Mus musculus: one gene and its partners. The protein of the gene in region 1 interacts with the protein of each later gene in a biochemical or structural test. Links are inferred from orthologs where the notes say so. Each region holds a gene or a part of one and is shown on either strand. Other genes may lie near its edges. The genes, in order: Pdgfra, Pdgfc, Pdgfa and Pdgfb.

Region 1 (6,058 bases):
CAGTGAGCTCCACGTATGAGCTTTATCCTCAGGAGGCATGTTTGGGGGTGCAGAGAGGGCAATCTGTGCCTGAGACTGGTTCAAAAGTTCCTGCAATAAGCCGGGCGTGGTGGTGCATGCCTTTAATCCCAGCACTCGGGAGGCAGAGGCAGGTGGATTTCTTGGTTCAAGGCCAGCCTGGTCTACAAAGTGAGTTATAGGACAGCCAGGGCTACACAAAGAAACCCTGTCTCGAAAAACCAAAACAAAACAAAACAAAAAGTTTCCACAACAAAGAGGATTCCCAGAAACTCCCAGGAACCCCAGAACAAGGCGCCTACCTGACTTGGTGCAGGCTCCCAGCAAGTTCACAATGTTCAAATGTGGCCCCAGGTGAGTCATTATCTTCAGCTCAGACATGAGAGCCTGCTTTTCACTAGACCTGGCTGTGGCTGTTGAAGTAAGCCAGATTTTAGTACAACTGAACTCCCTACTTCTGGTTCTCAGAAGAACACATGGAACCTTGTGATTCAATAGTATTTATTTACCAAGAGTCTAAAGGAAGAGCACTAGATGGTCTCCTCAGTCTAGACTGCTGAGTGTGTGTGTGTCTGTGTGTGTGTGTGTCTGTGTGTGTGAATGCCCTTGTCTACAAATACACATGGAAGCCAGAGGCTGACATCAGAATATCTTCTTCAACTGTTTCTACATCTTATATTTTGAGTCAGGGTCTCTCAGTGAACCTGAGAGCTTGCCGAGTTGAGTAACCTAGCTGACCAGTGAGCTTCCAGGATTTACCTGTCTCATCCTGCCTCCCTGTGGGGTTGGGGCTACAGGGGAATGCCACTACTTCTGCCTTCCTAGATGGATGCTGGGGGGATCAGAGCTCAGATCTCCATGTTTTCGCAGAAAGCACTTTGCCCATTGAGCCATTTCCCAGCCCCAGAGTCTCTGGTCTTTAAGATTAAAAACAAAAAAACAAAAAAACAAACTCTTACCAAAAATGAAAGCATCTGATTTTTAACAATGAGGGATAAGAACAAAAGAAACCTAATTTTGGAGGGTGGCTAAGTCTCAACCCACAGTCCAAAGAATCTCAATATAATATTAAATTCGATTTTACTCTTAAATTACTTAGTATGTCCATGTTCAAAGTATCCCTGGGAAGAAACACTTACGTTTGAGCATCTTCACAGCCACCTTCATTACAGGTTGGGACCGGCTTAATCCATAAGCTGTACCTTCGACCACTTTCCCAAATGCACCGGATCCCAAAATCCGACCTGTAGGCAAACAGAGCCATCACCGCCAGCTCCCGGCCCCTCGGCCTCACTGGCAGAGGCCAGTGCACGAGGGTGTACAGCTGGGTGGGTGTTTTTCCTGTGTTGAGTAAGCCTAATTATTCCTCCAAGTCATCATGTCCAAAAAAAAGAATTGAGCCCACAGGGAAGGGAATTAGTGTAATTGCTTTTGTCAAATGGCATTTGCAATGGAAAGGAAAACATGGATGAGAGAGGGGAAAGCACAGTCCTCCCTGGTGTGAACATGGGCTCCCGCCAGGCCCTGGGCTCCTGTGCACTTGCCTCCGTGGCTTCTACCCAACCCCCTGGTTCTCTACCCTTCTGTCTCTCAGATGCACACAGAGGCAACCTTTGCATTAACAAATCCTTAACCACTGGAAATCGTCTGTATTCCAAATGCCACTGATTCTGAGGAGTGCACTACTGAACACTTGGACTCGTCTTCTTTGTCATAAAGGAAGGTTCCTGGACCAGAAGCTGTACGTGCCACCAAGGTCCCTGGACTTGGGGGGGGGGGGGATGGGGGGGTGTACGTGCCAGCACAGCCCTTCTTTGTGTGTAGAGACAAAGAAATCAAAGCTGTTGTCCACTCTTAAAGAGACTGTGGTCTAAGGGAGGCATTTCCAGGAAGCCAGTCTGATCACGGCAGCCCAGGCACAGAAAGACACTGAGAGTGGACATGCCCGCTCTTCCGGTCTGTATGTACCTCCGCCATCCATGCCTAGAAAGATGCTGCTTTTCCAGTAATGTGGCCTTGCCAAGAGGACGAGGCAACGTGCTGGATAGCAGGGGCTCTGCTACTCCATCCCCACCTCTGAGCGAGCACTCGCGCACACCCACCCACCCACCCTCCCTGCCTATTTTACTGCTTTTTAACTTCCCTAAGCTCTGTGTGGGAAACAGTGGTGGACAATACAATAAAGAAGCACAGGTTCAGCTTGAGTGACTGTTAAGCGCCTAGCTCTGCTGTACTTTGGAACCAGACAGACAGACAGACAGACAGACGATAGCCAAAAACTGCACCTGGCGAGGGCCTTGATTGTGACATAGCCCCAGAGGGCTCCCTTCCTTTTTATGTTTTGCTTTAAAGTGTGTGTGTGTGTGTGTGTGTGTGTGTGTGTGTGTGTGTGTGTTCACACACACACACACACGGAAGGTAGTTGTTTGGGGGGTTTTGAGACAGGATCTCATATAGCTCAGGCTAGTCTCAAAATCTCTATATAGTTAACAATGACCTTGGACTCCCAATACTACGTCTCTGAGATTAGAGGCATGCAGTACAACACCAGCGTATATTTTTCCATCCTACATTACATATACTTAAAGAAGTATTTTATGACTCCTCAAAACGGACTGACTGTAGCCCACTGAGTTCTCTCACTTCTCAGCTAGTCCTCTTCGGTTATAAAAATGAACTTTATTTTTTCCATTGCAATATTTTTGTCAGGCCAAAATCATTCCAATGATACAATTAAGACTTTCTTTCTATGGGCTAGACAGATGGCTCAGCCGTTAAGAGCACTGATTGCTCTTCCAGAGGTCCTGAGTTCAATTCCCAGCAACGGCATGGTGGCTCACAACCATCTGTAATGGGATCTGATGCCCTCTTCTGGTGTGTCTGAGCTACAGTGTACTCACGTGCATTAAAAAAAAGAAAAGACTCTTTCCTTTTGGCATTTTGCTCTAGGGTCTCATGTAGCCTAGGCTGGCCTGAAACCCAGTATGAGAGTGAACTCAGGATCCGTCTGCTGATGCCCTCCAACTGTATGCTACTATACCCGGTGCACTAACTTTGTTCGTTTGGGGGATAGAATCTGGGGCCTTACAAAGGCTAAACAACTTCTTGACCCTTGACTTCCCCTTCTCAGCCCCAATGAGCTCATGTTGAAGATGTCCATGTAGCCCAGGCTAGTCTTGAACTCACAGTCCTCCATCTTCAGTCTCCCCAGTGCTGAGATGAAGAGTGTGAGCTACCATATCCAGCTCTGTGAGTGGCGTTCAAGTCCCTAATTCTGTCCCAGATCTGTACGTAGCAAGCTATGTAGGTAACATTGGGGTCCTGGGAGGTTACCCTCACAAGAACTTACCAAGCACGAGGCCATCTCTCGGGAATTCCCATCTGGAGTCGTAAGGCAACTGCATGGGGTCCACATAGATATACTCATGTCCATCGGGGCTGATTGACTCGATAACCCTCCAGCGAATTTCATACCGTGGTTTCTGTAATGACCAGGGTGGGTAACTGGTGAATTCCCAGAGTTCAAGGCAACTGAGCTTCACTACAGAACCAAAGTGACTGGACCCAGGAAAGTCTGTCATGACCCACCACCCATGGAATTACCAAACCCCTTCTCTGAACCAAACACCGAAGGATACAGTTGTTCTCATTCTAATGGTTCCAAAGACTCACCTGCTTCCAAATGACCACCAGGACGATGAGAGAGACAATGACAATCACCAACAGCACCAACACTGCGGCCGCCACTGTGAGTTCAGATCGCAGAGCTGGAAGGCAAGACAGAGACAGTAGAGAATTTTGTCAGTTATTTGTGGACGGCAGAATAAGACGGGAGGCAGAAAGAAATGAACTAGGGCCTATCTCCCTGCTGGTGGGGAAGTGTTGGGGATCCCAGGTCACTTTAGGGGTGGCCTATATCATCCCTCAATCACTTGTACCCTTGCAACTAAATGTGATTCTTCCCTGGGACAAAGACTTTCTTTCCAAAGACACTCCAAGGATCTCCTTTTGGACAATTTGAATAAAGACGATGGAGACCAACAATAAGTTAGGAGCAACTTTATTTGTAGAAATATCCATCTCATAAGTTTCATGGTAAAGGTGAATTTTGCCTTCTGTCTGTCTGTCTGTCTGTCTGTCTCTCGGTCTGTCTCTGTCTCTGTCTCTGTCTCTGTCTCTCTCTCTCTCTCTCTCTCTTTCTCGGCTTCCTTCCTTTCTTTGTTTCTGACTCAAACCTGACCCACCTGTTCTGAGGATCGTGAGGCAAAAGCCCCTTCCTCACTTTCTATCCCTAGACCCCAGTGCTCAGATGACAGAGGCTTAGTCATCCTCTACATGACAAGCAAAGCTGCCTGCAGCTCTGCAAACGCAGCTGGGTCAGGGCAAACAAAGGGGGCTTGGCAGGAAGACCAGTGCTTCAAGTCCAGACAGGGCTGAACTGTCTTGGGACCTTTGCCACTCTGTGAGCCCTGTCTGGGATTCCACGTCCCACCTGAGGAACACAGGGCGTGGCTGGTGAGCTGGAGTTGTGCTGCCTACTGAGAAACTCACTGGGAGCCACCAGCTTCAGCTCACGGGCCACAACGCTGAGGTTGTTCTTTGCCAGGCATCGAACTGCGATGGTCTCTTCCACTTTGGCGAAGGACACTCGTCCCTCCACGGTACTCCTGCCACGGCGAGGGAGCTCTGTGATAATATTTGAGACATTGCTGGCCAAAACTGTCCACGAAGTGTCATTATTACATCTAGAGAGAATGTGACACAAATGAAGATCTGATTACCAGGAGTCACAACGACCCTTCCACATTGCTAACATTACATATATTTGGGGGGTGGGGCAGTCCTTGTTTTATGGTGCATAGATTTGGGAGTTCTCGTTTTATGGTGCTTGTTCACATTAAAATCCATTTGCACCTGCTCAAGAGGAGTAATCTCACGTGGATAACCAAAGTTAATGGTTTGTGGAGGAGGCAGATAAAATCCACAAAATCTAACTACTTATCTCAAATCTTGGACCTGTGAGCAAACTCAGGAGATAGCATCAAACACGTTCAACAATGCAAATCTCCCACTCCTTTGAAAATATCCTCCCTCCTCATCTTCAACCCCAGGAAGAGCTTCTAAGGGGTCCCTAAGGCTGCAGTAGTCTTCTGGGTTAAATCATTACACCTAGAAATCCCAGGACCCAGGTCACTCCACAGCTCTCAGTGAGGAGAGCAATAGCAAGCTGCACTTTCAGCAGAGACGCACTCAAGGCCTTCTGAAAGCAGGTAGTTGCCGTGGAGCAAGGTGTGGGCGCACAGTTCATGGGCCTGCCTATGAAGGTGGAGGAGGGGCTAGAGAGGTGGGCCGGCCATGAAGCGCTCATACTGTTCTTATGGAGGGCCCACATTTGGTTCCCAGCATTCCTACTAAAATGCTCACAACCACCTGTTACTCCACCTTCAGGGGATCCAGTGCCCTCTCCTGGCTTCCAAAGAACAAGTGGGTATGAGGAGTCACGTGGGCACGGCTCTCGGCTCTGTTTGCACTGCCAGTCTAGCCACCGAGACAACATTTATGGTAAGAAATAAGAAATGTGAGCTGGGAGCTGGTGAGACAGCTCAGTGGTTAAGACTGCTCTTCTGAAGGTCCTGAGTTCAAATCCCAGCAACCACATGGTGGCTCACAACCATCCGTAATGAAATCTGATGTTCTCTTGTGGAGTGTCTGAAGACAGCTACAGTGTACTTACATATAATAAATAAGTAAATAAATAAATAAATAAATAAATAAATAAATCTTTAAAAAAAAAGAAAGAAAGAAAGAAATGTGAGCTGGGCAGGGCTGGTGGTGCACTCCTGCAACCCCAGCGCCTGGGAGAGCAAAGCAAGAGAATGGTACGTTTGACTTCAGCCAAAGCACTGGCTACACGGTGAGTGAGACATTATGTCACAACAGGACTGCAAGCTAAATACATACATACATACATACATACATACATACATATACAGATAAAATCCATGAACAAGAGTGGTTCTTACAATTCTTTTTGTCTTCA
Region 2 (6,058 bases), on another chromosome or scaffold:
GGCAGGAAGCTAGTAAGAAGGGTCTGTGTAGGAGCTGTTCTTCTAAGAGAATGTAGCACACATTAGCATACATGTGAAGGAATGCTGGTATTTTTCAAAACCCACAAATATTCTCTACAGCTGTGCCAGATTTGATGGTGTAAAATGAACGGAAAGTGGTAAACAGTGAGCTTAGGAGGGATTTGGTGTGCCATACGAGGATTAAAACAGAATTCTGTAGAGTTCTACTGGGGAAACTCTACCCATCACCATTAGCTTTGCTGAAGGGCCATGCTCTTAGTGGTGTGGAGGACAGATCAAACAGCAGTGAGGCCAAAGGCTCATTAGGCTGGGGAAACAGAGACTGTTTTACTGGAATGGAGAGAGCTCTGAGGCAGGGCCAGAAAGGAGACAGTTACAGAAACTGGGGGGTGTGGTAGTCACAAATGTGAGGGAGGAAAAGGCACTCAGTGATGTCTGCTAATAACATAGGAAGCAGGAAATGAAAACAAAGCCCGGGCCTCTCTGAAGTGAGATGGTTCATTATAAAGGACTTAGCTTCAGAAAATTCACTCAGCTTCAACATCGGATGTGAGAAGAAAGCGAACCACTGGGGGGAAAAGAATCTATCGATACAGTTTAATTTTCTGAGGGCAAGACTACCTGTTTTGTCTTTCGCACACGTCCAAATTGTCTATAAGGAGTATTTGATGAGAAGGAGAAAGGAACAATGAGAATCAGAAATAAAAAATATAATCATGAATACTGCTTCATATAACTAAGTGCTATTCTTCAGTTTAATAAGCATCACTATGCAAAATGGGCCTTTGCCACAGAGACAGAAGTCGGAACCACTGATATAACATACAAAATAATTGGTGGTCAATATAGTCAACACCTCCAAGACTTAAGAGAAAATGAGGTCACGTGTGCTGTAAACGCATTAGCTTCTGTTGGCTTTGGTAAACACAGGAAGCATCATGAGTGTAATTGATCATAGACAATCAGGCTTCATACTTACCCTCACTCACTGGCAGTAGGGAACAGAGTGATACTTTTATGATCACGTTTGACCACCAAAGAGAACAATAAATATTTTAAAACTGACAAGGGAAATGGTTAGAAATACCAAGGTAAACACATCTGGTAGGTAATTCCGTGTAATCTCTCACAGTTCTTACTTTGCCAGTAAGACCTGGAAACTGCCGATATTCTGCACTTCCCATGATGCTTGGTGAAGTTATTTCTGGGTCTCTATAGCGCTGGGACAAAAGGGCAAAAGGTTAAAGAAATGAGACAGAGAACATGTTTATTTGTGTACTTGTTTCTCACATGGTGGGAGGTAGGGCAGGGCTGCCAGCAGCAGGGTCACAGTCAATGGGTACTCTTTGCAAGCTCAGTCTGGAGAGACTGTCTCTGGACATGTGATGTTTCGCCAAGCCTACAGCCAAGTGCTGAAGAAACCAGACCCCAAGAGATCTGTGCCTAGAATGGAAGGACTATATTTTGAAATACCCTGGTAATCCATAGACTAGCTACTACATACTGCAGATGTTGCCATAGAAAATGGAGACAGGAATAGGAACTTATGGAATCTGCCCCTCACTTAATCTAATCATATACTATATCACCACACATTTTACAATGCATCTTTTACTTTTAGATCCTATACAGTTTACTTAATCAGAATTTACTATTAATACCACTGGGGGGGGGAAGAACTTCATTGCAACAAGAAATTAGAAAGAAGAAGACAGGGGAGGGTGAACTGGCAGATGTTTTTCTACAATGCAAAAGATGGTAACTGAGTACTTTATTATCTTCCTTTCCTTGGAACCAAAGAGGCAGACATGTTCACACTCATGGATACCCACAACCGCCTCACCCCCCCCCACACACACCACATACACTTAGACGAACACTTACACTTGTCCCCAAAATAGCCAGATTATTTTATTTGATGATTCAATACATTTTAATTCAAATAGTCACCACAAAACTTGGGCACAGATTAAGCATTTACAAGCAATGTATTATGTTGATTTTCTTTGCAATTGCCAAAGAGTATAATAAGTGAACTCCTTAAATGATATACTTCTGTACATAAAAATATCCATGTATTAATACAAGTGTATGGAGCAGAGTTTAAAGGTAATAAAACCCTAGTATTGAAATAAATAGGATATGTCCATACAGCGCAGCATAGCCCAGAACACTGTGCCTAGAAATGGTCGAGGTTTCTGGGGACGTGCTTCTCTGAGCTATACTCCTATTTCCCATAGAAAGGGGTAGGTTAGCAATGGCTCCATATTTACTCAAGCTCTGTTCTGTTCGTAGCTCTAAGAACAGAATTGGGAATTGATGATAGTACAGTTGTTATCAAACTGTCCCTGCGACCTACCAATTCTAAAAACTTCCCCATTCCATCTTTTCAAATGCAGATGACGCTAAGCTCTAGCACCATACAAGGAAGAAATACATATGTTTTTGTCAGAGCAACAAGATTTTTATATCAATCATCTTTGTTCTTCTGGCTATAACAATTTTGTTTAGAAAAAAAAATTATCAAGCTAAAAATAATTGCTCTAGGTTGTCATAAAAAAGAATATTAAATACCTTTGGTAAAAATAGAAATATTTAACAAGATTAGAAAAGCCAACAGTTATAATGTCAAAAGGAGAATATAAAAATATACACAATGAAACACAGAAGCCACCTCAGAGGGAAGGGAAGGGAAGGCCACTCCTCTGTGCAGGTGTGCTTTCTCCAAACCATGACCGCACCTTTCCTCCAAATTGCGGAGAAGTTGCCAAGCATTGAAAACTTCAGTCTTTCCTTTCAGCATGGCACATTTAATTCCTATTAACATAGCTGCTCTCTAAAAGCTTTGAGTTTGTAGAAAACAGAGCATCTGTCTATCTATGCAAACAGGTTGGAGAAATCCAAGTATTTCTGCATTGTTCACAATCAAGTGTGTGTTTTTCACCATTTTCTTGTGCTGACATCACTTGCCCATATCAAGACAACTAAGCTACACCATTCTGTCAGTGGAAAAGAAATGCTGTCACTCCAGAGTTTGCTAGCGATCTACATTCATTTCATTTGTTTCTGTGGTCAGAAGACCATTGTCTGGGCTTCCTCTAGAAGGCAGTGCTTTGTGATTGACTCCTCTTGGTGCCTCTGGTCTTTTAGAAGACACTTGAAGTCCTGCAGGGGAAGGCTATTGAAGCAAACAACTGAGAATTTGGTTGGAGACGAGTAAGATCTTTACCATAGCCAGCATCAGCAGCTGAGAGCCCTGCGGCCAACGCTGGTGGGGATGAAGGTTGCTTGTGGGGGTACACAGAATGCCAGTGCTCACGTGTGCTGCTACGAAGGCTGCAGTTACCCTCCTGCGTTTCCTCTACACACACAGTCACATTCCTCGTGGTGTTCCAGAGCCACATCAGTGAGTGACTTATGCAATCCCTTGACTCCAGTTTTTGGTCTCAACTGAAGGACCTAAAAGGGAATAAATATGTCTCCTTTAAAAAAACATTGTTTACTGTGCTTGACTTCATGGACAAGTAACATTTCAAAAATCAGAAAACAAACACAAAAGCAACAGTACAAAACAAATAAACAATAACATTGGGGGCCGAAGAAAAACATGCACACTCTTTCATGTTGCTTAGTGAAGTTACATGTATGCATGGTCCTTCCCTCTAGCTTCAACATCCCAGTCATCCACTACTGTCATTTCATAAAAGAAAGGATGCCTTAATGCCAGAAGTCTCAAAGCACACAGAAAAGCTCTTAAACGGAAAGATTCACTGTGTGCTAATTGCTTCCTAAATGTTATACGAGAGATAATTTCACCTCAAGGGTTTTGAAAGCACTGGTAGACAATTTGTTTTTCTGTTGTTTTAGCTTCTTCTTTTCATACACTTCTCAACTGGGCAAATATTTACACTTGATGCAATGCACTCAAACCATGGGCATAGCGTGGTAAGAAACTCGATCATTCCACAGCTGAGCTTGCTCAATTATGCCACTCATTAATTTTCTTGGCTACACTTCAAGTCCTCTATAAACTTGATGAGATGGATTAGATGTACTCCATAAGCATCGGCCTCTGCCACAGCTTAGTTTCTGCATCTGGGTCTTACTGTACAGTGCTAAGGAGGCTCAGCAGTAACAATGAGGCCTCTATTAAACAAACTTTTTCCACAATTTAGGTTGTTCAGATTTCAGACAAAAAATATAGATGGCAAAATTAACAATGGATCTCTATAGTATTGTGAGAAAAGTATCTAATTATGCAATCTATCAAAAGTATTTGAAGTATTGGAGAGTCAATATGTTTTAGGACAGAAACTATAAATTCTAGAACTTATGTCATTTGGATTACAAACAAATCCCAGAGCACATAATAATATGGAAGTGTTCAGTTTCCCTGCTTTCTCCTTATAACATAGAGAACTCCAAGAAGTGACTGTGAAAATTTCCTACTCCTGTAAATTATCATTAATCCACAGGGACCCAAATCATGTCTCATGACTGTTTGTTTGAAGACTTACAAAGGAAACCTGGGTAATGCATGCATAATTTTGGAACATGTGATTCTAGCGGAGCTTAATTAGCTCACATTTTTGGAATACTTACTGGGTACCAGGCACAATAATAATGTGTTTACATAGTTTAACTCACAATGATCCTATGATGTAATCTGTAGTTATTGCTTTCCTTTACACGGGAGTAAATAGATTTAGACGCAATGAAGGCAATAGTTATTATTTGCACCTAGGCCAAAGGAGAAGTTATTAAAACTTGAATAACAACTATCAATTTAATGAAGCCTCACTACCATTGATTATCAGTTTGTTTCCTTTATTGAAAGATAGACGTCAAAGTCTTACAGGAAGTATCAGAAATGCTGAACTTTGAAAGGAACATTTTCAGCCCATTACATTTCATAATTTTGGACCAAAAGTCAGTGCATTTGTATCCCTTTAGTGTAAGGTTAACTAATTAGATAAATAGATATTACTTTATATTACCAATGACAAAGTTTTTAAATCAGTAGGGGTGTCATGAATTATAAAATTGATAATGTTGTTATTATTTTATCATAATCTTGCTTCATATTTCTTTCCCTTTCCTGGAAGGAGTTTTTATTGTTGTTATTGTTGTTCTGTTTTGTTTTGTTTTTTGGTAAGTCAGAGCATCAGTAGAGCCAGTGTCATGAGTTCCCACCTCCATCTCTACAGTTTCTCTACTCAGCAGCAAAGGAATACAGTATAAGAAGTGTAGTTCCTCCAGACTGTACAGTGGGCTCAGGAGGCACCTCTGCCTCCCTCTGCCTGACTCTTCTAATATGTATCTTCTGAACATCTTCAAAAAAGAGCAGAAGACTCATGCTACAGTAATTTTAAAGAATGGGATAAGAAATTCTAGTGAAGAGGTGGGTATTGTTTCTTTTAAACTCTACTGAAGGTTGTAACATTTAGAAGATGCAACTGGAAATGAAAATTTGCTTGTGGATACTAGACAATATTACATAGAAATATATGGAAATTAGGATGTATGACATAAGAATGAATGGGGAGAGAGAGAGAGAGAGAGAGAGAGAGAGAGATTGTAGAACTGCTTGAATTGGGGCTCAGTTGTAGGAAATGATGTTCACCTAGAATACATGAAACTCTGGCTTAATTTCTGCTATGGTTTAATAGGAAATGCCATCTGAAGACTTGTGGACTGAACATTTAGCAGCTGATGGAGCTATTCCAGGGACGGTCTGAAACTTTAAGTGGTGTAGCCTAGTTTGGAGAGGTAGGGGCAATGGATCATATCATTCTCATTATCGCTCCTTCTTTCTGTCCTCCATTTTCTTCTGTCACCATCAAACAACCAATTAATTAAATTTATGAAGTTAGAGATAGAGAGAAACCATTGGGTCAAGTATGAAAGTGGAAAAAGCAACAAGCCTCTGTCAGTCAGCTCGAGAGTATCACACTGCTCTTGCTCAGTGCAAGTTCACCCCTTCACTGATAATTCACCCTCATAAAAGACCATGCACAAAGGAAAACAGTGAGTAAGA
Region 3 (6,058 bases), about 64 Mb from region 1:
AAAAAAAGCTAGGCAGAGAATAAAAAGGAGAAGCTTACTCACTTCATGGTGTAAAAAAAGAGAGAGAAAGAAGGAAAGGAAAACGAAAATAAAGAAATTCCACGTAAGGCCATCAGGAAGGTCCTAGGCAGACTCAAGCGAGGTGGTGGCTTCCAGGCCGTGGGCATCTCCCACCTGTTCAGTTCCCACGGAGCTGGCAGGCAGCATCCCAGGCGGGCTCCAGGCGTCCTTGGCGAAAAGCACCTGTGCCCACGGGCAGAATCCAGGGTGGTGGCCAACATCAGCCACCTCTCGAGGGTCAGTCCTGCAGGGCGGCCCTTCCGTCGCCCACTTCAGTCTTTTTGTTTCTTCTGGTGGGGTTTTTTTTTGTTGTTGGGTGTGGTTTGGTTTGTTTTTGTTTTTTTTGTTTTTTTGTTTTTAATTTTTTTTTTGTTTTTTTTTTCTTTTTTGTGGTTTTGTTTTCGCTCTCTGTGACAAGGAAGCTTTCTCACTGTCTCTCTGAGTGCTACAGTACTTGCTTTGATGTCACACTGAACAAACGGACACTGTCTCTTTGTCCTCGGACACAGTTTTTCACGGAGGAGAACAAAGACCGCACGCACATTGGCAATGAAGCACCATACATAGTATGTTCAGGAATGTCACACGCCACGCACATCCGTGTCCCGGGAGAGGGCGGCCGGCTCATCTCACCTCACATCTGTGGGAAGGCAGGAAGAGTTGAGGCTATGACCACAGATAGAAAACAGCAGGGCCACTTAGCCCCAACTTGTCTTAAGATACGAAGTTGATATACGTAATTTAAAAAAAAAAAAATCAAAATTTCCACAGTTTAATCAAATCTTCCCAATTTAAGAACTGGTACTAGACTGGCTGCATTTCATAGAAGAACCCATGCTCCCATTGCACAGATGGAGAAACTGAGGCATAGAAAGTTCTTTTTGTCCTCCCCCCTATGTTTCTTTCTTCCAGCCTAAGGCCTGTACCTTGTTGGAGGTTGGCAGTTTGGGCCATGAAGTATCAGAACAGATACCACCAGCCACCCTGCATGTGGCTCTCTGTGACTAATCAGAGCAATGATTTTGTGTGGCTGTTCTGGTGCTGGTGATCAAATACTAGCACAAAGCTACACCTCCTAGTTTCATAATGAACCAATGATGCCAGGTGGCCAGCTGGACACAGGCAGTCACGGAAACACCTGCCTCTCCCTTGAAGGGGTCCCTGTCAGCAGCAGTCCCTGTCAGAGCCACATGGAACAACCCCAAGGACCTGCCCAAGGAGACAAATGCCCAAGACAGGCATCCCCAGGCACCCTCGTGTGGGAGCCAGGGTTCTCAGACACCCTATCTCTGAGGACTCTCCTGCCCAGAATAACTGTTTGTCTTGGATGCCCCTAAGTCGCATGTGCCAGGAGGAAGGGCTCAGCCAGACAGGCTCCAGCCCTCTGAGCCAGACAAGCTGACACTCAGGACAGGTCTGGGAAATGATATGCCCCACCTACATTCCCTACACTTCCGGGGAAAAGCAGCCATCACAGGGTGGGTTTGCAACAAGCATTCCTAAGAGGCTCTACAGCCCTTCTTTACCTGCCTGACTCTTCCACCCCTGGAGCAGCCTCCATGGGTCCTGGCGGTAATTTTAAGGACAGAACCCACAGTACAAAAGACCACCCCATCTGGTCTTACACGGATCATTAACCTCTTCCTCCTTTCCTGAGGTCACTGCTGGTTACAAAAGATGACTGACTGACTGCCCTGGCCACTTAACTCTTCAGATCCACTCAGCCTCCTCCTCCTCCTCGGTAAACGTCTCAGTCCTTCCGCCAGTCAGCGCAGTGGGCAGTCTCTCCCCAGATAACTCCACCAGAGCCACCAGAAGCCCCCACCCACCCTTCCCGCCATGGGGCACTCGGGTGCCTGATCAACGACCAAGAGAAGGGCAAAGCTGTAGCTGCAAGGAGACCCGGCCGAGCAGTCCCAGAAGCACACAGAACCTTGAGCCAATCAGGGCCCACGGAAGCGGGATTCGCCTGTCTTGATTGTGTCCCAGCCCTGTGCGAGGGAGTCCCCAGCTCACCCGGCGGGCAGGGCCTACCTGGTCGGCCGCCTTAGGTGGGTTTTAACCTTTTCCTTTTCCGCTTTTTACCTGATTCCCTACGCCTTCCTGTCAAGGAAAGGGCAGGGGAGGTGAGTGGCCTCCGGAGGGCCTGGGGTGGGAAGCCACAGTAATAAATACTGAAGGTGTTTATCTTTCAGAGAGAAAGCCTGATCCACCCTGGTGCATAGACACTTCCGGGTCTATCTCTGCACCTGGGCTGCCTGAATGTTGGCATATACAGGTGTGCTGGGCAGGACTGAAGGGCAAGACCCTGGGCAGCAGGGTACAGCCCGAATCCAGTGTCTACTGTTCCACCTGGAGGTGGCACCTGCAGGCAGTTTCCCTGACTGTCACTCTGCAAGCTAGTGTGGACAGCTGGCAAATCCAGGCCTGCTGACTTGTTTACTCAAGCAACTTTTCCCATCGCTGTGATGGGCTTGGCTGGGTCAGATGTGACAGATCACTCATCCCATATCCCTCAGGACCCACACACAGCAAATCAGACAGTGTTGGCCACTCACCTGTCTCCTCCTCCCGATGGTCTGGGTTCAGGTTGGAGGTCGCACATGCACACTCCAGGTGTTCCTCTAACCTCACCTGGACCTCTTTCAATTTTGGCTTCTTCCTGACATACTCCACTTTGGCCACCTGCCGAGGAAACAAAAGCCAGTGTCAAAACCATGTACCCAAAGGAGACCTGCTTGGGGCACCCCAAACCAGGACTCAGATACCTAACTCTCTTCAAGGCATCTTCCCTTGAGCTCAGGTCTGCTTTCATTCGAAATAAACCCCAACGATACTAGGCCTACAGCTGCCGTCCCGGCAGCTTCTGTCCCAGCAGCCAGAAGCTCGAGGTCAGCCTGGACTACACAGCAAGGGATGTGGCTCAGCTACCAGAGCACTTCCTCAGCAGTCACAAAGCCCTGAGTTCCATCCCCAGCATCATATAAACTGAATGAATGTGGCGGCAGAAGCCTGTAATCCCAGGGCTCAGGACGTGGAGGCAAGAGAACTAGGAACTTAAGACTCCTAATTGCCCAAAAGATCTGAAGGGCGTCAGCCAAGAAAGGGTGAGCTGGACGTAGGATGGTGGAACATACTACTACTCCCTTTGTTAGTAAGAACCCAGAGTCTTGGCTAGGAACAGCAGTGTGGCTACAAAGCTTGCTGATGGAGGGAACCCTCCCAACTTGTGGTCTCTGAGAGACACGCCAACCCAGCAACACACCTCCAGGTGGTACAGAAAGTTTCTACCGGATTCTAGAACCCCAGGCAAAGGCTCCCATCGTCCTGGCCAGATGCGGAGCACTACAGCCTCATCCTCGCAACACTCGGGTCGTGAGTGTGCCAACTCCACCCCCACAGACTGTGAGTCGTGCACACAGCTCCCAACAGAGGAATGCAACTCCACACACTCCCTCCCCCCTCATCCAGTAGTTCCTTAACCCACTCCAGCCCCCACCAACTGCTGCACCAGGAGGCAGCTTGGGGCCATGCACCCTGCTCCATTCCAGCATGACGTGGCATTAGGGAACCCTCTAGGTCACCTCCCTCAGAATCCAGACACCAGGACTCATTTAACCCTCCTGGCCAGCCAGTGAGTGAGGAGGCAGGATTGTCACCTCCACAGATAGAAAAGAAAAATCAGGCACAACCAGCCCTCTCCTGAGGTGACCCGGAGAGCGTGGCTGGCGGCTTGTTCCAACCTCGATGCCACCTGGAATAAGTGTCAGAGAACAGCCACCCTCCCAGCACTGCAGAACTGCATACAACCAGTGCCAAATCTGTGTCCGACTCCCAGAGCAGCCCTAAGGGGTCTCTACCTCACATCCCGCCATACACTAGGGAAACTGAGGCTACAGCAGTACTGAACCCACTCCGGGTGGCTTAGAGCACCTAGCAGTGGCAGCCTTGTGACGTTCAATGCTGGAAACAGTGCGTGGCCCACCCAGAGTGACCGGGGGAGCTTGGGCAGGAGAACACTCCCCAGTGTTCTCCCAAGGGTATTAAAGCTCAGGCACCAAGAGGACCCTTGGAAGCTATGGTCAGCCATCCGCCAGAGTACCAGGCCAGGCAGCTTTCAGAGTCCTGGGGACCAGACTCAGCCAGACTCTGCTGTGGCTACCGACTTGGCTACATTAATGGTTAACATGGGTGCAAAGGGTGCCGGGTGCCTGGCGGGCGTGGGAAGTAGAATGGGTGCCCCAGGTGTGAACAGAGTCTGCCAAGTATGAGCTCAGCATGGAGGGCGTGGGGCCAGGGGTCAGGGGTCAAGGGCCAGCCCAGGAGGTTTCACTACGTCAGAAAGCGGGAGGGACAGCAACTTGGGGCCGTGAAAGCCAAGGAGGGTCTTCCCCTGAGAGCTGTAGGCATGTGGCAGGCTTCTGCCCAGGGGTCTTGCTCAAAATGTTTTGGTGGAGTGCTGGGCCAACCTGGGCATTTGGGTCGGGCTATGCTATCCAGATACCTCCAACCTGACCTGTGAAATAGGGACAGTGGTCACACCCACCCAGGTAGCTCATGAAAGAATAAAGTTTTCTCTGCAGCGGCAGCCAGAGGTCAAGTGGGTATGGTGGGGTAGGCTGAGGCTGGAGGATTTGCCTCAAGTCCAGCCTTGTCTACAATATGAGTTCCACGCCAGCCCCCAGCTATAAGACCATGTACCCCAAAACAAACAAAAGACACAACAGTAAAAAATCACCTAGAAATGGGACACAGCCACCCTATAGGAGGAGCTAGCTTCAACAAAATCAATATTCACACAAGGCTCCTTACTAAAATTAGCCCCCAAACACTGTTCAGGAAGTCACCATGTCCCCAGAAGCAATGCAATCCCCGGTCCCTAAGCTCAGGGTCTCACACTCCACCCCAGGGAACAGAAGGGCAACCCCTGTCTCTCCCCTTCAAGAGCCCTGAGGTAGGTCAGGGAGGGAGAACTTCTTCCAAAAGAAAAACATCAGCCAGTCCCAAGAGGAGCTGTAGGCAGAGATGCCACAGTCCCCAACCTCCAAAGATGTCTATTGCCTTTGGTGATCCAGCAAACTCCTAGACTGCCTAGATTTAAAAAAAAAAAAAAAAAGAAGAAGAAGCCTGAAAGAGACCACGGCCACAGACACCAGTGGTGGGTGCTCTCCTCTTCCACCACAGCCTCTGTGGTGGGAACCAGGTAGCCTCACGCGGCCCTGAGCACAGGCTGTCAGAAGGGGACTTGGCTTGGTTTTAACTACAGCCCTGCAGCCTGACCCAAACCCTGCCTGCAGGGCAAGTACAACCTTCTCCACTGAGCCTAGGGGTCCCCTGCATGAGGAGCAACTCATGAGCCGCTCCAGCTGGGGAGGCCCATTCTTCCAGACAGGCCCATGGTTATCAGACAGAAACAAACAGCGGTTTATAGTAGCACCTGCCTTGGGAATGCAAGGATTCCAGCCGCTCTGCCACCTCTGTCTGGCCAGGAAATGGCTACAACCACCCCTACACCCCCCCCCCCCCCGCACGCACGCGCACACACACACACACACACACACACACACACACACACACAGAACATGTTATGAATATTACATTTTCCCACTTGTGCCCCATGCATTCCAGAGCTCCCTCAAGTTTAACGCAGAGGATCACCTGGCCAGGCCATTATCCAATCACTCCTCTGCACGGAGGAGGGGTAGGAGGGGTGGGGGGGTTGTCTTTCTACTCCAAGCCTCAGGACAGTGATGTCTATGATAAAAGCCAGTGCTGATTGAGCTGAGCACAGGGCACAGTCCCTCCTGCAGGTCAGCTGCATGGACCCAACTGGAGCCTATTCTACTAGATGAGGAACCAGGGGCTGGCAAGTGGACAGCTTGCCCAGGCCCCTCACTCCTCTGCTTCCTACTCAGCTAGACATAAAAGGAATGAGCCCCCAAGGTCTCACAGCACAGAGACCTGGGACCTTCCCACAACAATCCTTTAACTTGACCAA
Region 4 (6,058 bases), on another chromosome or scaffold:
GCTGCTGGTGGAGGTGGCCGGGCACACGGGGTGAGGGAAGCACCATTGGCCGTCCGAATCAGGCATCGAGACAGACGGACGAGGGGAACAACATTATCACTCCAAGGACCCCATGGGGGCAATACAGCAAATACCATATTAAATAACCCTGTGGGCAGAGAAGGATACAGCGTCAGAGGTAGCTCAAGGGTCCCCGTGGCCCCCATACCAAGGCAAGGGGCTAGGGCTCCTGCCACCATGCTGATTTCCAGCAGGTCCCAAGTCTGAGACGGAGGAGCTATGGGAAATTTGAGTGAGACAGGCACCCTGTTTCAGAGAGGTTGAGGCTCAGCTAGGCAGGAGCAAATGCCTCTGCTGGTTCTCACGGAGCCTGTCTAAGTCACAGCCAGGGAGTAGCTGAAAGCCAGGGAGTAGCTGAGGCTTGTTTTTTCTGGTTGGCTCCTCACCTGCCCACACTCTTGCCGACGCCCCTAGGCTCCGAGGGTCTCCTTCAGGGCCGCCTTGTCATGGGTGTGCTTAAACTTTCGGTGCTTGCCTTTGGGGGGCCGGCGGATTCTCACCGTCCGAATGGTCACCCGAGCTTGAGGCGTCTTGGCTGCTCGAGAAGAAGAAGAAGTAGTGTTTGTCAGCATCTGATAGCAATGGAGTGTTTTCCTTGTACCTTGGTGCCTGCTGGGAGGGAGCCTTGGGTATGGCTGAGGGAGAGGACAGACTTCACCAGGTCAAAGTTAATCCCCACAGCTCTCCAGCTCTGGGGACGTGACTGAGTCTTTCTATGCCTTCCCCTCTCTCTGGGAGTGAAGCAGGTGGACAGCCCACCTCATGGGAAGGAGAACGGATTACAAGGCAGCATGCCGGCCAAGCAGTGCCGGACCCAGGAAACTCTGTTTTGTGCCTGCCCCCTGCCCCCAAGTCCTCATCTCTACTCAGAGATGGATTTTCCCACTCCCTGAAGGTGGCCTGGCCCTGGATCCCTCTACCCAACAGGAAGTCCTATTGGCTCTGGGTACCCACCCATCTTCAGAGGACTGGCCCAGCTCTCCTTTGTGCTTCAAGCACCGTGTCTCACTACATGCCTGGAGAGGTCATGTGGGGACTGGGGCTCTTGAACCACAGTGTAGCTGCTGCCTCCAGCCACAGCCAGACGGCAGAAAAAATCTAGTCAGCTCTCCAAGGAGCCTCATTCTTGCACAGAACTGCAGGGTGAATGTCAGCCACAATACACCGTGAGTGGTGGCCTGTCACCCTGTGACCCTCTGCCTCCCATCTCTCCTACTGAGACCTATACCGCCAACCTCTGGCTCCTCTGGCCACAAGATGAGGAGGCCACCAGACTTTCTTTGGAGCTGTGCCTGTTGTTCAAATTCCTGGGCACTCAGAGAAGCAGAATGGAGGGCTGGGCTGGCAACTTAGTCAAGGAGTCAGCCCAGGTCCAAACCTGGGCTCTTCTTGATACTGTGTGCCATGGGGCAAGGCACTTAACCACTCTGAAAATCAGCAGTGACCTCCTACAGTTGAGACAGCGCATAAAGCAAGCAGGAACCCCAGTGAGCACCTGCAATGTCCCTGGCGCCACTACACACTCCTTTATTTCCATGGTTGGTCTTATTCATCCTACAGTGTTGGGGGAAACTGAGGCAGAGAGCTGTGTTTGAAATCCTGCAATCTATCTGTGCTTCATGCTGCCAGCACCTGGCTGAACTGACAGTTCCTGGGAATCCTGGACCAGACCGACTCTAACTGCTCTTCCTCCTGGGTTCTGAGAAGCCAGGTCAGACAGGCAGGGGACAGCACTTCCTGGGAGACACTGGAGAGTCCCTGGCCTCCAGCCGGTGAGGTTGGTACCTGTCTGTTCATCTCAGACTGGCTCTCTTGAGGTAGCCCCCCTTCCTTTCAGGCTACCTCAAGAGACCCAGTCTGAGATGAACGAAGTTTTCCTTGCAGGGTAGAGATCTGGGGGAGCTGAGATTCTCGGGGGGGGGGGGGGAATGACACCCAGAGGGGGCATGGAAACCACCCCCCAGAGAGCTTTTGCCCCAAAAGGCATGTGCAGGAGGCTGGGCTGCGCTAAGCCTGATCCAATTCACACAACTCACAAATGACACAGATTTGAGCCTAAGAATTCCAAAACACCAGCACTGGCCTAGGCTCTACTAGAGATGAACCTGGAGGCCAGTCCCGCAATATTCTTAACTTTCCGGTTCTAACACTTAAAGAGTTCTTCCTGCGTGGGGGCTGGAGAGGTGGCTCAGAAGGTGAAGAGCATTGGCTGCTCTTCCAGAGGACCCAAGTTCAATTCCCAGCACCCACAGGGCAGCTCCCAGTTGTCTACAACTCCAAGAGCTGACACCCTCACACAGACATACATGCAGGCAAAACACCAATGCACAGAAAATAAAAATAAATAAGTTAGCCAGACTGCCAGGCTGAGGTTGGACTATGTGACCGGAAATCTGAGCATCTTTAGACTTCGGGTACTTCCGCTACACAGAGAAAGGAGCCTCTGAGATGTTTCCAACTCAAACCGAACTGCCTGACCCTTGCAGAATCAGACATGCACTCCTCTGGTGGATGCGTGAACGTCAGACCCACTCTCCACATCCCAGCTGTATGGATGCTCAGCCTTTACTTGTGTATCTCCAGGAGATGTTGTGAGTGAAGGGGGCTGGTTGGTAGTGAGGCCAGGCGCTGCAACCTCATTTAGGGCCAAGAAGAATCTAGATTGTTCTCAGTGAGATCAAAAGTCTCAAATAAATTTAACCAGAAATAATGTATTTGCTCTCCATTTAAGTCTTTTCTGTGTGGTATATGTTTAGATCTCTCTCTCTCTCTCTCTCTCTCTCTCTCAGTGTGTATGTGCGTGTGTGTGCATGTGTGTATGAAGTCAGAGGTTGACATCAAGTCTTCCTATATTGTTTTCTGAGACAGGGACTCTTACTTAACCCGGAGCTAACCAACAGCTAGACTGGTCCCCTGGGATTCACCCATCTCCACCTTCTCAGTACCAGGGTGACAGGCACAGCTATCATGCCTTGGTTTTTATATGGATGCTGGTGTTTCAGACTCAGGTCTGCATGCGTGCTCAGCAAACACTCTACCCACCGAGCGCTCTCCCTAGCCTCCTGACCCCTATTTAGAGACCCGTCCTTTTCCCAGCTGTTATAAGGGAAAGAGGCTTGGGTTGAGCCACGTGGAGCAGCCCCTGGGAAGGCAGCTTACCTCGCTGCTCCCTGGATGTCCCAGGACTTCTAGTCACAGGCCGAGGGGTCACTACTGTCTCACACTTGCAGGCGAGGTGGTCCTCCAAGGTCACTGTGGCCTTCTTGAAGATGGGCTTCTTTCGCACAATCTCAATCTTTCTCACCTGGAGGACAAGAATGAGCAAAACTTCTCTGTAGAAGCCATCAGTGCAGGAGCGGCCTCACGCGCCTGGCAAGTGTCCTGTGCTGGAGTCTTTCCTCGAAAGCCAAAACCCAGGCTCGTCTGCAGAGTGACAGCTCTGAACCAAAACAATAGTCAGGCCTTTCCCTCTGTCCCTCTCAGAGCTTTTCCATCAAAACAAGCCCTTCAACCTAGCTGACCTGGCCTCTGGCTTTGCTGTAGCAACCCCCCCCCCCCGCCTCCCTGACCCCCCAGAGTGGGAGAAAGGCATTTCCGGGTGGAGCCTGAGTCCTGTGGGTCGCCATTCCTGGAGCACCGGCCAAGGCCAGGGACCAGAGCAGAACAGGGAGATAGTTATCTGATAGGAAGTGCGAGAGGCCTTATCTAGAAGAGAGGCTGCAAGGGGGGAGGCAGCTGTCAGGTGTCCATCCCTAAAGCTGGGGACAGAAGATACCGTGGCAGTGGGTGGGGAAGCATGGCGTGTCATTTGTACTCTGGGTCATGGAGACAGGCCATGAATGGAAGACAGGCGGGAGACTGGGCAGAGGCCACAGGCAGAGGGCAGGGAAAGACAGCATGGCCACACAGCCAGTGCACTGAGTGGGCTGGTTTTGAGCTTTGTGCTATGTGCCCAGGGGAAGCTGAAGTAGGAAGGCTGATTCAGAGTACAGAGACCTGTCCACCTGAGTTAGAAGACAGCCGTGCCTCCTGGGCCTCTGGGTCACTGCCTCAGAATAGCATCTCTCCAAAAAGGACCGAGCTAGCCACAGAGCTGGACCATTTGCCAATGGGACCCCTGATTCCTACAGTGGACACTCTGTGCCACCTTTGCTAAGCTTGCACAAAGCTTGCCAAAGAAACCATTGAAGTCCCAAAATGTAGGGGCCCCTGAGTATGATAAAGAATTGAGGGGACCTGGGCAGCTTAAAGACAGGGGCACTGTGAGACTGTGACCCTATAGAGCAGGTGACATTGGTCCATTACTTAGCAGCTCAACCAAGTCACATCCTGGACTCCATCTAACTTTCAGTGACTACGGTTTGAGACATCTTGGAGAAAGCGTCCCAGAAGCATCCTCCAAGCATCCTTCTCTGGAAGGAGCCATGAAGAACCAGCCAAGTTCTGCAACCCACAGAAGCTGTTCAGCCGCTGGGGCGGGGCCAGACCCAGGGTGGGGCGGATTTTGCGCACCTGGACCGGCCGCATCTGCACCTGCGAGGCCCGGCATTGCACATTGCGGTTATTGCAGCAGCCGGAGCAGCGCTGCACCTCCACACAGGGCGGCCACACCAGGAAGTTGGCGTTGGTGCGATCGATGAGGTTCCGAGAGATCTGGAACACCTCTGTGCGCGTCTTGCACTCGGCGATTACAGCAGGCTCTGCTGCTGCCAGGGACCCTGGAGGGAAGAGGCCTGTCAGGAACAGACCGACTTCTTTGGAACCTCCCCCATCCAAAGACAGGCCCGAATTTGGGTAGGTGGCCGAACTACCCTGAGCCTCAGTTGACCCCAATCGAAAACAAGGACAGCGAGATCTACCCCCGAGAAACACAGCCAACATCAGGTTAGATCATCCAGTGTGACCTTGTAAATGTTTAGGATTTAGCTCCCAATTGTTCAGTCACACAGCTGTGCGATTGTCCTGAGTCCTTCTGCACTGTTACTTTCCTGGCTTAGATTGGTCTTGTATTGTTTGTTTTTGTTTGTTTTTTGTTTTGTTTTTGTTTCATTCCAAACAGGGTTTCTCTGTGTAGCCCTGGCTGTCCTGGAACTTACTCTGTAGACCAGGCTGGCCTCAAGCTCAGAAATCCGCCTGCCTCTGCCTCCTAAGTGCTGGGATTAAAGGCGTGCGCCACCACACCTGGGTGCACTAATATAGTCTTTTTTTTTTTTTTTTTTTTACTTATCTTGAAATGTTTTAAGTACATTGGTGTTTTGCCTGCATGTGTCAAAATACGTGGAAGAGGAGTTACAGACAGTCGTGTGCTGCCATGGAAACAGAACCCAGGCCTCTGGAAAAGCAGCCATCTTCTGAGCCATCTCTCTAGCCCCACTGGTCTGTTCGTATGTGGCCCTTTCCTTCAGAGCCTAACCTACGAAATGGGATTAACAACAGAGCTATTGGGTCAGCAAGTGCTCAGACACGTACAGGGAATGGCTCACAGGTGGAGAAGTAGGCCTGGAGACCTAGAGGCTCTTCCAGCCACATCTCCAGTGACTTGGAAACTGTACGTGGGTACGTGGCCACCTGCTTCACCCTGGAAGTCTTCACTAGGACTGACAGATGTACTTGGCTGGTCTCTGCTAAGGAGCAATCTGTAGAACCTGCTGGGTTCTGCATTAGGCCACAGTGGAGCTGTGGGCCGTAGTGGACAGAGGGGACTCCCCCCACCCCCACCCCCGCCCCCCCGCCTGAGAAGACCTTGGTTTCAATTTCAACAAGTAAGTCCTTCCATTCCAGTTTCTCCACCCTGGTTTCCAGGCCTGTGGAGTGGGGTTAGCCACATCTATTCCAAGGCTGCAGAGATGTAGTGAGTATAGAACCGGAGGTAGGCAAGGCAGATCTCTACATTCCAGACCAGTCTAGTTAACACAGCCAAAGCTATGGAGTGAAACCCTGTTTCAAAGCCAGAAACACCAAACCACTATTTTAAAAGCACAACATGGCGGGAGAGGGC

The links.
Region 2: the proteins of Pdgfra (region 1) and Pdgfc form a complex in vitro, tested with the Homo sapiens proteins (2 studies listed by BioGRID and IntAct, with this or other methods). The link is inferred for Mus musculus from reciprocal best matches to the Homo sapiens genes PDGFRA and PDGFC.
Region 3: the proteins of Pdgfra (region 1) and Pdgfa form a complex in vitro, tested with the Homo sapiens proteins (2 studies listed by BioGRID). The link is inferred for Mus musculus from reciprocal best matches to the Homo sapiens genes PDGFRA and PDGFA.
Region 4: the proteins of Pdgfra (region 1) and Pdgfb form a complex in vitro, tested with the Homo sapiens proteins (3 studies listed by BioGRID). The link is inferred for Mus musculus from reciprocal best matches to the Homo sapiens genes PDGFRA and PDGFB.

Annotation. Positions count from the first base shown.
Region 1 is NC_000071.6:75,175,372-75,181,429, reverse strand, and holds part of Pdgfra (platelet-derived growth factor receptor alpha isoform 1 precursor), read right to left. Parts: intron 4,764-6,058; coding exon 4,570-4,763; exon of another isoform or gene 4,526-4,569; intron 3,786-4,525; coding exon 3,691-3,785; intron 3,501-3,690; coding exon 3,368-3,500; intron 1,263-3,367; coding exon 1,158-1,262; intron 432-1,157; coding exon 321-431; intron 1-320. UniProt on the Homo sapiens protein: Tyrosine-protein kinase that acts as a cell-surface receptor for PDGFA, PDGFB and PDGFC and plays an essential role in the regulation of embryonic development, cell proliferation, survival and chemotaxis.
Region 2 is NC_000069.6:81,209,884-81,215,941, reverse strand, and holds the end of Pdgfc (platelet-derived growth factor C isoform 1 precursor), read right to left. Parts: intron 3,481-6,058; coding exon 3,364-3,480; 3' UTR 1,902-3,363; downstream 1-1,901. UniProt on the Homo sapiens protein: Growth factor that plays an essential role in the regulation of embryonic development, cell proliferation, cell migration, survival and chemotaxis. Potent mitogen and chemoattractant for cells of mesenchymal origin.
Region 3 is NC_000071.6:138,976,528-138,982,585, forward strand, and holds part of Pdgfa (platelet-derived growth factor subunit A isoform 1 precursor), read right to left. Parts: intron 2,746-6,058; coding exon 2,619-2,745; intron 2,164-2,618; coding exon of another isoform or gene 2,108-2,163; exon of another isoform or gene 2,095-2,107; intron 701-2,094; coding exon 690-700; 3' UTR 1-689.
Region 4 is NC_000081.6:79,997,110-80,003,167, forward strand, and holds part of Pdgfb (platelet-derived growth factor subunit B precursor), read right to left. Parts: intron 4,779-6,058; coding exon 4,573-4,778; intron 3,365-4,572; coding exon 3,220-3,364; intron 1,918-3,219; exon of another isoform or gene 1,861-1,917; intron 596-1,860; coding exon 471-595; 3' UTR 447-470; intron 149-446; 3' UTR 1-148. UniProt on the Homo sapiens protein: Growth factor that plays an essential role in the regulation of embryonic development, cell proliferation, cell migration, survival and chemotaxis. Potent mitogen for cells of mesenchymal origin.